3 linked regions of the Mytilus edulis genome follow. The main gene of each other region encodes a partner of the protein of the gene in region 2 in a complex. Links are inferred from orthologs where the notes say so. Each region holds a gene or a part of one and is shown on either strand. Other genes may lie near its edges.

Region 1 (3,760 bases), on a different chromosome or scaffold from region 2:
ACGCATCCTTACATAATTTTATTTTCATAAATTTCATAAAAAAGCTCCCCTTTCATATCTTTTAATATTGGTAAAAAAACGCGCGAATGTTTCAAGACGGAGGAATTAGATTTATCACAAAAACGGCGACGTCATAGTACATTACGTAGTTCATAACATCATTTCAATCGGCCGATGAATCGGCCCTTTGGCACTGAAAGGAGTATGACTTTGGGCCGATCATCGGCCCTATGGCACAGAACTCGTTAATTATTTAATATTTTGAATTGTTTGTAGATTTGTTTTCATTAAAGAGGGGCGAGTTGGCCACGTACATTTACGTAAATGTACATTGATAGTGGGTCTTCCAATGGATAGAAACAAGTGCCTGTGGGCACTTTGGTGAAAAAGTGGGGCGGTTTGTCAGTAGAGCAATTTATCCTGCTTCCCCACACTGAATTTTTACAAAGAGATTGTAAATATAAATTTTGATGGAAGGAATATAATTTTTTGAAGCAAATGTATGTCCTGTTCACGGCAAACTTAACCAAATTATCCGCTCCCCCTTTTTCAGAAAAAAAAACATATTTGTTAGTCGTACATCAGATCCATCGAATTGTCTGAGTTCAGATTCTGAGAAAATCTTTGCAGGTTCATTTTCGTTCTTTCCTGCTATTTCAATTTCAATCTGTTTGTATTTTCCTTTTATATTTGTGAAAATAAGAAAAAGTAAAACAGCTGTCAAAACTTGGCTGGTGGCTGCCATTGTTGTTGTTGAAATGATTTGATAAAACAGAACATTTGATTGGCTATAGATTTTACAATAACTAATCACGGACCTTGTAACGTATTTCCCGTTGTGAGTCAAATGCCGGGGTGTTAACTTCCGGTTTGTCTGCTAGAAGGAAAAGACCAAAGTTTGCATATTACTGCTGAATCCATCACCATCTGCCATGGATAAAGATGGAAGGAAAGTTGTTGTCTGTGATAATGGCACAGGAGTAAGCACTTTGAAAAAAATATTTCATACTTTACCGTTCTAATGATTTTAAATTTGTAAACAAACCCGGAAGTGTCAATATAGAGTTCCTTACTATTTATCTTTATATTTTTAATGCATAAAACTATACGAATAAAAATGCACAAACTACACTAAATGAACACAAACATATGTAATTCATTTTCACTTTGCACATATTACTTTATGAATCTGCATTCTATCAACATGATCCACAAATGTCTATTACCCAATACTTTTATTTGCCAACTACCCCTGTTGTAGTGTTGACAATTTTGAAGTTTTAATGCAATGAACTTTTCTAATCTTGGAAAGGCATTGAAAACTTTACTTGCATCTTGAGTACCAGTAAATTTGCTTGCGGTATTGTTTTCTAAAAAAACAGGTTCCAAACAGTCTGCGCAAATGGCGGATCTAGGTGGAGGGGGGTGGTTGGACCCTATATGTACCTTTTTTTTGGAAGATCAATGCATTTGAATGGGGACATATGGTTGGACCTCCTTCCCCTCCCCTGTCTATCCTGGGTTCGGAACACACCCCCCATTTTTTTTTAAATGGCTGTATCCGCCCCTGTTGCCAGGGATTGAAGTTAAGATTTTGGCACGGTTGCCCACAGCTTAAATTTGTAGACAATATATATAGTTTTAAATTAGGGAAGAAGAAATTTCAGTAGCCCACACCAAATTTTAGGGGCCATTGGTGAGTGTGCCTCTGCTAATTTCATACTGTGTCACTCTGTGTGCACCGTTACTAATCCGCCTCTCTGCGCTGTTACAAATGTACTAACAGTGCTACTGGCTTTAGCCACTAGTCTGGTGCCCAAGACTAATTAAACTTTATTCGAATTAGTTAGTTTATTAAAAACTTTGTTTAGACACATAAAAAAAAACCTCTTAATATTGGGTCTTTAGACTAGTAGTCAAAAAGTATTTAGTGCAGACTGTCGAAACATGATTACAGGAGTCCAAAACTAGCAAAGCCTGAAATAAAAATTTGACAATGGATTGGTCTTCTTTGAATTCAGTTTCATTTATATGTGGTAGAAAAGATTGCATGTATTTTCTAGGTTATGAAATGTAAATAAGATTCTAGACGTTATTTTGAAAATTGTTTTCTCTCATTGTCATGATTGTCAGTTATCAGGAAGATTTGATTTCATATCCTGCTTGTTATTATTCCCAATCTTAATACCAATTTTAAGTCTTGGTTTGTTCATTTGAACTTATTCTGACTCTAATTCAAATTATCAAAAGTTACAAAGCAGCTAATGATAATTCTCTTTTATTTACTTTTAGCAGGTTACATGTACAATGATGTATGTTGTTAGTGTTTCCTGCAGCTTTTAAAAAGGGCAGGGTAATTGTTAGCTCAGAGGGCACATTAAGCACGATGGACAACAATTTTAGGGCACTTACTTAATATAAACAGGCAATTTCTATAAAATGGATTCATTTAAAACATACTAGTTTAATGCTATAAAAAGGACATATACATCTGTAATCAATCATTAAAACAAATTGTTAAACAAGAAAAAGTGTTTAAAACATATATATGAAATATTTAAAACAATAAACACAATTAAAAACAAAATCAGTTCTTTAAAAATGTTTAAAAACAAGAAAGAACTATGTCATATATATATATAAAAATATTGCTTTTGTCATATTAATTGTCATTGACAAATCCTCCTTTTTTCCCCTAAAAACAGGTTGACACATTCCCTGATATCCAAATCATCTATTTGCTGACACTAGAACAAGATTGTTTACAGTTGACACATTCAGTCTATTTCTGCCTCTTTGGTGCTGAAAATAAATAAATTACACATAAAACAAGAATATCTTAAATAATCTGGAAGTTTTTTCATAAATTGTTCCTTTCTTAAATTAATTCAAATTAAAAACTGAAGAAGTAAATTTAAAAAAAATAATTTGATGAAAAAATGAATTAATTGAAAGTAATTAATATGCAAGTGATTTCATGAGATCATTGGCCTAACTCAACTTTAACCTTAAATTATCCCTTTGACAAAAGTTTATTTTTACCCCCGAAATAACAGTAACACCATTGCAAGTGCGTAACCATTTTGTAATAAAAATCTACAAACCTTTAAAAAAATGATAAAAGCTTTCTGCATTTTGCGGCCTGTTTCTCATTTTCTTCCTCACGTTTTCACTTCCGATTTGTTGATGGCATGATAAGTATCTGTATTCACTATTCAATCTTTTGCAGTTTGCTAATCAGCTGATTACGAAATCGATTACAAAATGGCGTCCTAGTGAACTTTTGTTTACGTTTGAAGGGAAATAACTCTAGCGGTATTCATAAAATATGTCATGTCTAAGTTATCAACATCAATCTGTAAATTTAAATACATATACATTTGTACATGTACATGTCTTTAAGTAAAATTGTACATACATGTCTGTTTACTGCTCGCCAAACTACGTTTTAGATTGGGGAAAATGCATAAGAAACCAAACTTTGTGTTAGTTAATCATGTTTAAATGTACACTATGAATCTTATTTCAGCTGAGGCCAAAATAAAAGATTTGTTTGTTTTCCCTCCCCATACCTGGGTCAAAAATAAGCTCCCTTGTAAAAAAATATTTTCCACAAAAAAAATTGATATTATTTATATTCCCTTAGGCCAAAATAAAAAGATTGTATGTTTGCCCAAACGCCACCGACCCAAAATAAACCCGCCGACTCAAATTCTTTTTTTGACGTTTTTTAGAAGAATTTTTTTTTTGCGGATTTTTT
Region 2 (3,760 bases):
GATAAGATTTTGACAGAAAATCAATAATCAGCTGATTGCATTTGATAGCAATCGACATCAAAGGACTAATTAATAAAGGTGTTGATTGACAAAATGATATGGTTAAATGGCGCCCGTCACATGTTTCATCAAGGATTATTAACCACTTTGCGACACACATGTTTGAAGCAAAATTTTGACGACTCTTCTCCTTCTTTTAATGATAGTCCAGAAAAGAAAACTGTTGTTATGACAAAAAATGTACAAAAGCCAGAAAGGTCTCTGATTTTAAAACTATCATTTAACTTCGATATCGATAATTGATTTGAGTGGGTACTTCAAAGTCGTTTCAGTGACACACGTGCGAAAAAAAAAAGGAAAATTTTAAAAGAAAAATATATTTGTGTTACTTGGCCAAAAAAAAAATAATGTGGCGAAAAAAAATATTGTTTTGGCCAAAGAGGTGGCGAAAAAAATAATTGACCCAGGGGAAATCCTGGTGTTGTAAACCTTTATATTAATGAAGCACTAAAATCAACACAAAAACTTGTTAAAGTCTTAATCATACTTGCAGAAAATTCTATCTCAAAGTCCAATTGGAAAAATGGTTTCAGCATTGTAATAGGAAGGGGTCACAGATTTTTTTTTTAAATAACCTTTCAAGACGTCAAAACTATTTGGACTAATGAGTAATGAAAGGGGAAATCATCATAAATTTTTCCTAGGCCTTATCAAAACAAACTTTTGTCTAAACAGTTAATGTTAAGAATAATAGAAAATAGTGTGGGCAAAACAACCTGCGGTCAAACTGCCCAGGTTGTGAAGTGGAAACTTCTTAGAAGCCATTATTTGGTCAGATCATGTTTTTTCGTATATCATATGAATTCATATAAATTTTAATGCATTCTTTTTTAATGGAAATTGTGATGTCACAATGCATTCTCAATAAACGTATTTACACTTTAGGTATTTAGCTGAATTTTGTCTCCAAATGACCGTAGATCGCCTCCGAATAACCTTTTGATGTCAAGCAACAATCACTTTTTTATTGTGACGTCAATTTTTTTGAATTGTTATGTCAAAGTTTACGGGAACCTGTGTGATTCTACGTAATGGCGGACAAATTTCCATACAAGTGTAAATACGTCTATAGTGCAATAACCAATGAGACGAAGATACTATTTTAATTTTTTTTTAATTTATAGATATAGGAAGATTTGGTGTGAGTGCCAATGAGACAACTCTCCATCCAAATAACAATTTATTAAAAGTAAACCATTATAGGTCAATGTACGGCCTTCAACACGGAGCCCTGGCTTACACCGAACAACAATCTATAAAGGGCCCCAAAATTACTACTGTAAAACAATTCAAACAGGAAAACCAATGGTTTTATCTATATAAAAATCGAGAAACGAGAAACACATATGAATTACATAAACAAATGACAACTACTGTACTGTGTACTGTGTACATGTACATCAAATTCTTTATTTAAAGTCGAGTTGCATTCCAGACTTACATTGTAGGACTACAAGTCATCCTACGATTTTGTTAATACATATTTTCGAACATCCTGGCACTTTAAATTTCTAGGAGGTGAAATTCTCGGGATTTTACCTCAAACTCTATGGGAAAATACAATTTTTAATTCCAATTTAAAACCAAACGGTAAAATTTATCACACAGATTTTTAAAACACATGTCTATTATGATAAGGAGATTTGAAAACACGATCTCAAATTTAATTTTAATGATTCAACAAAAAATTAATTGAGTTTTAAGTTTGTGTACCTATATATGGTAAAACCCGAAGATTTGTCACCGCTTCAACTCCAATATTCAAATAGATAAACACAATGTAATTATCTGATTGGTCAATCTTCAGCTGTGATGCAAACATGAAATTATGTATATTGTCAATTTTATAGATCTTGCATTGTTTATATTTTTTGCTGTAAGTGTAATGCCAATTTATTGCATTATACGGGTAGTACTGATACTGTGATACATCGAAAGAACACGGAAGCATGTACTATACCGGGTTTATTTGTAACGCCCTAAAACTATATCCCTATACAAATCTAATGAATCTATTACCCTTCTTTTGCATTTTTGAATCTTAAATTCAGTGTTTCTTCAACAATTCGGTTATGAAATTCAAGCAAAATCATTTTAGCAGTGACTTATTCCTCTGAAAGAAGGGTGGGTTATTCCTTATTCCGGAACTGTTGTTGATTTCCAACCTTGCCTTTGTAACACTTCTTTTCATTGGCCAATTTTTGTACTGGTTACCGGAGACTTGTAAAATTATTGCGTTTGCTCTAAGTGTGAATCAAATAATTGCCTTACCAGATGGCAGTTTTGATAAAGGTAATTTTATTGGATAATCTAATTCTGATTTGAAAACAGCCGGGAAGACGGAAGTTGCCTTTAAGGCTTTATCAAGAACTTTTGAATGACAATAGTTATAAGTAACAGTTAGGTATACTAAAAACATAGGTATTTAAAAGTAGAAGAATATTATTGAAAAATTTCATGGGTCATTCAAAGAAATCCATGGTAAAAAAACGCCCACATCGGTCACAGAGACTCGGTGAGACAAATGGAGAGACAGGCCATAACACAAATCATTGTGTACTGACTCATTCTTGGATGAAAAATAAAATTTTAACACTTAAACAGAATTACATGTCACAGGGTAATATGGCCACTTAATCTTTGTAAATTAAAATAGGGCGTTGAATATGTGACGAAATATAATGTTGCAAACCATTTATTTCACACTGAAAGTACATAAAATATTAATTATAATAAACATTTATTTCAAATGTTAACTTGAAGTTTCCTTCTAAATTGAACTATGAATTGGATAGAAGTACATGCATGTTAAGGCCTAAAAAAAATGTGATTACCTGAAAGTAGGGAAAAAGTTAGGGTGTCCCTTATGTAGCGTGCATGCTTAAGTGTGTGAAACTCGCATTAGTACGAGTTCACCGTATATATAGTGCTAGAAAAAGTGGCGGGTTGCATGCATAATAACTTCGTGCAGAGTAGTATATAGAGTAAAGTCTTTTTCTAACTGTCCGTCAATGAATGAACGTAGTAAATATATAGTACACACAACATATAGTGTAGTACTAGTATATAATTGTACTCTAATAAATAGCTACGGTGACATACAAATGTACATATATCCTTATCTATCTCCATTTCCGTATTTACCTTTGCACATGAACGAGGTAAACAACTGTAATGGTGGTCACTTTGTTTACTTGTCTATATTCTATTTATTTGGGGATATTGGTTAACTTTAGAATTACTTATAGTTCCGTAACTCTTTCTTCCGAGACCGGCCATGAAATTATCCTTGTCGGGACTTCCTGTTCTGGCACGTGCCCGGCCGGGCTCGTTGTCCATAGGAACTATAAGTATGACGTCACTCACCGGGTTCTGGGCAGTCTACATTAAGGATTTAAAATGAGCAGACGCTCATATCGTTTGGCTTTCAAATATGGAACGTTATAAGGACAAGTAGACTAGCCACCACCGTATTTTAGTATATTTATTCATGTAATCGTATGTTCAACCATAATGTATGTCTTCAAATAAACATCTTGTTTATATTTACGTAGTTTTACGTACTTTGTCCAATATCCCAGAACTTGGGTAGACAACGGGAAAACGAAGCCAGTGGAAACTTCCACTCCCGTTACATTGGGGGCTCGTCCGAGGGATATTTGAGGACAATAACTTAAACAAACATTGTGTTTGTACATTA
Region 3 (3,760 bases), on a different chromosome or scaffold from region 2:
TTTTCTTTTGATCTTTTTTTGTGATAATTTTCATATCATGCTTCTAGCTTGAGATGGAAAAATTATCGCTAGAAACTAAGGAGGCCACGTGGCGTTGCTAACGAAATTGACATGAAATTGACAACGTCGTCATAGTTAAAATAGCGATAAACAGATTATCATTGGTCATCTCAACTCGATTGCTTTTCTCACTTTCGCTGTACCAGCTCAAGCGAGAAAATCAATCTCGTTGAGATGATCAACGATAATCTATAAATATACATTGCACAATAACAAAATAAGACAAATACCCAGCCTAGATAGGCTTATGAGACACCATATATACAAATATATTTCTATTTAACAAATATTTTCATACAAATTGTAAAACATAGTACAATTTCAAATATGTTTGAAATTATCCGGGTTTTTCACATCATAAAAAAAAAAAGAAGTAGGCCAAAACTTTTAAAAATAGAAATTACAAAATTAAGTATGACGTAAAAATAAATGATATGTAATAAAAAAAAATATTTTAAAGAGGTTATATAAACAGATTGCGAAGAATAAAATGAAATTATCTTGTTGTTTTATTAAAAAACCTCTCATATGTGAATTATATTCATCAAAATTTTACATGTTCTGTATTAAATTGTTGACCGTAATCATCTATTGAGAAAAAAATGTAGAATCCAACCAAATTCACTAAAATTTCATGAACCGAAATGAACAGTAATATCTCATGATATGATTTTAACATACACATGTATAAGGTCAATTTAATTAATCATCGTGTACGCTCTCAAAGATAAACCTTGCTATGCATTATTTTATTGGTATTTTAATTTCCATGTTGAATTGTTTTATCATTTCGGGATCTTAAAATTAGCTGATTATGTGTTATAGTCTTTGCTCATTGTTGAAGGCATTACGGTGACCATCATACAACATATATGTTAATTTTCATTATACTTTTGTCCAGTTTTAATGAGTCTCCATTAGGCGGATCCAGGGGGCCCGGCCCCCCCCCCTTTCGTGGGAAAAATTTGGTTGATTATATAGGAAATCACTGAAGCATGAATGGAGCGGGCCCCCCCTTAGGTCATGCAGTCAACGCCCCCCCCCCCCCCCCCCCCCCCTTAGGAAAAGTTCTGGATCCGTCACTGCTTTGTCTGATTATTTTACTACGAGACTGAGAGAGAGAAAGATTTTCTTTACCCCCTATTTCCCCCCTCATTTAATTTAAACAACAAATCATCAATCGGATATAGCATTTTAAAATTTGAAATAAAAAAAAAACAAGCACAAAATTTGAAGATCCAATTCATACATGCATAATATAAATAAAAAATATTTTCCCATTTTGTACCTCATTTACCTTCGACTGGTATCCGTATAATTCAGTCCATCTACCACATTTCTTATTTGTTATGAAAATATATTAAGTTTGAAATTTTAACTTGAAACTTAAAAATAAACAAGTTCGAGCACCAAATTTACTTTACCATTGCATTTTGAGTGGTTATCGTTAAATTTTAGAAATAAAAGTTCTGCATAGAATATGGTAATCACCTCCCATCGGCCATGTTGTTTCTCATGTCGCCGGCTGAGTCACTTCCTGCTTTCTGTTTTTAACTCCAAACAACTTTATTTAACATACATTCAATCATAAACAATGGCTGGACGACTTCCAGCGGTTGTAGTAGACTGTGGAACCGGGTATGCAACAATTAACCTCAATCCCCATTAAAAACCAACCCTACTACCTGCAAAAATGAAAATGGGCGGATTTTCTGAAAGGTGTATGCATTTAATGCACTTACAACGTTCCCAGTAAACAATATCTACATCTTTTGTATTGGTTGTTAAAATAAAACACTAAATACTTCCTTAAACACTTTGTTCACGTGATATAATTACAAAAATTGTGTATTGCCGGTTTATGAATATGTAAATAGAACAGGAAGCTACGTTTTATGACTAAATAGCAATAAACCTGTTGACAAAGTTGTCACTTCCTTGAGGACATCAAGGACCATCTCCTTCAGCCATCTTTATACTTATTGCAATATTCTGGGCGTGTATTCATTAAGATGTCATTCGGAAAGTCATTTGGTCCTACAGGGACCCCAGCTGTTATTATTGACTGTGGCACAGGGTTTGTACATTTTGTAAATACAAGAAAAAGTCATTAAAAATGTTCAAGTTGAAACAGGAAATGAATGTAATGGAGGGTGTTTATGTTTTGTGCACTCATTTTACATGCAATCAGCTATAGGCAGATAGGAATATCTCACCTCCTGGTACATTTAGTAAATGTATCTGTCTAAAAATACAATCATTGGAATAAAATGTCTAAGATATCAAGAAAACACACTTTGCACTTATTTAAATTAGTTAATATAAAATTGTTATCCAAATTAATTAAAGAAAGGAATTCAACTCGCTCAGCCCTCTAACATAAGAAAATCAAAGGTTCTTGGTTGAAGAAATCTACATGTCATATCAAATGTAGGAAAGATTCATTATGGTTGAAATTTTATTGCGGCTGTGGTTATGATTACGACAAATATCAATGCTTCCTGTATTGACAGTTTTTAAATTGGACTGTCAAAACAGATCGACCAATATTCAATCTGAAACATGTGGTAGATTATTAGATTTTTGGCATAAAGCTAACCTTCAGTTATTTTAAATCTTGTGTGAATGCTTGTGATATTCTTATGGATAAAACATGGTTTCCATTAATTCCTCATCAATTAGAAGTTGAAAATGCGTATTATAAATTATTCTAGAACTCTTCACACTTGTATTCATATTATTTCACACTTTAAATGTCCTTTTCATGATTGGCACCCTGCCTTTTTGAAATCCTAGCTTGAACACTAAATTTCTATAGCAAACTTTTTGGAACTTAAACAAACCTGATGAAATCTTTGTTTTCTCTTTTTGCCTATACATGTATAGTTCTCTTTAATATACACCCATGTTTGGCTATTTTGATTTTGAGGTTAAACACTGCAGACAATACACGAAAGAATTGGTTATAATAAATGAATGGTTAATTATTGAGTTTCCTGAAATTAAAGTTTTGAACAGAATTGTCAATTGAGCTGTGCTGTGATAGATATATAATTAAAGTTTTACATGCATTAATATTTTATTTGCTTGTACTTTTACAGGTACACCAAGATGGGGTATGCCGGTAACACAGAACCACAGTTCATTGTACCATCAGCCATTGCTGTAAAAGAATCGGCATCAGTAGGAGATAAAGCTATACAACGACTTGGTAAAGGGGTGGAGGACCTAGACTTCTTTATTGGAGATGAAGCCTTGAGTGCAACATCATACAGTGTAAAGGTAAAGAGTAATTTAGAAAAATATTTGTGGTGACAGTTAAAATGGTAGATAACAGGCTGTAATTCAGTGGTTGTCGTTTGTTTATGTGTTACATATTTGTTTTTCGTTCATTTTTATACGACCGCAAAATTTGAAAAAATTTTCGTCGTATATTGCTATCACGTTGGGGTCGGCGTCGTCGTCGTTGTCCGGCGTCCGGATACTTTTAGTTTTCGCACTCTAACTTTAGTAAAAGTGAATGGAAATCTATGAAATTTTAATACAAGGTTAATGACCACAAAAGGAAGGTTGGTATTGATTTTGGGAGTTTTGGTCCCAACATTTTAGGAATTAGGGGCCAAAAAGGGCCCAAATAAGCATTTTCTTGGTTTTCGCACTATAACTTTAGTTTAAGTTAATAGAAATCTATGAAATTTTG

What was found.
Region 1: actin-related protein 2/3 complex subunit 2-like (region 2) and actin-related protein 2 share a complex: the UniProt entries of both Drosophila melanogaster proteins name them as parts of the arp2/3 complex. The link is inferred for Mytilus edulis from reciprocal best matches to the Drosophila melanogaster genes Arpc2 and Arp2.
Region 3: actin-related protein 2/3 complex subunit 2-like (region 2) and actin-related protein 3 share a complex: the UniProt entries of both Drosophila melanogaster proteins name them as parts of the arp2/3 complex. The link is inferred for Mytilus edulis from reciprocal best matches to the Drosophila melanogaster genes Arpc2 and Arp3.

Annotation. Positions count from the first base shown.
Region 1 is NC_092346.1:18,322,393-18,326,152, forward strand, and holds the start of actin-related protein 2, read left to right. Parts: upstream 1-821; 5' UTR 822-932; coding exon 933-980; intron 981-3,760. Other genes in the region: uncharacterized protein, read right to left, coding at 581-745. UniProt on the Drosophila melanogaster protein: Functions as ATP-binding component of the Arp2/3 complex which is involved in regulation of actin polymerization and together with an activating nucleation-promoting factor (NPF) mediates the formation of branched actin networks.
Region 2 is NC_092345.1:92,662,232-92,665,991, forward strand, and holds the start of actin-related protein 2/3 complex subunit 2-like, read right to left. Parts: upstream 2,248-3,760; 5' UTR 2,154-2,247; coding exon 2,080-2,153; intron 1-2,079. UniProt on the Drosophila melanogaster protein: Functions as actin-binding component of the Arp2/3 complex which is involved in regulation of actin polymerization and together with an activating nucleation-promoting factor (NPF) mediates the formation of branched actin networks.
Region 3 is NC_092357.1:11,020,930-11,024,689, forward strand, and holds the start of actin-related protein 3, read left to right. Parts: upstream 1-1,533; 5' UTR 1,534-1,654; coding exon of another isoform or gene 1,655-1,698; 5' UTR 1,699-2,072; coding exon 2,073-2,137; intron 2,138-3,161; coding exon 3,162-3,342; intron 3,343-3,760. UniProt on the Drosophila melanogaster protein: Functions as ATP-binding component of the Arp2/3 complex which is involved in regulation of actin polymerization and together with an activating nucleation-promoting factor (NPF) mediates the formation of branched actin networks.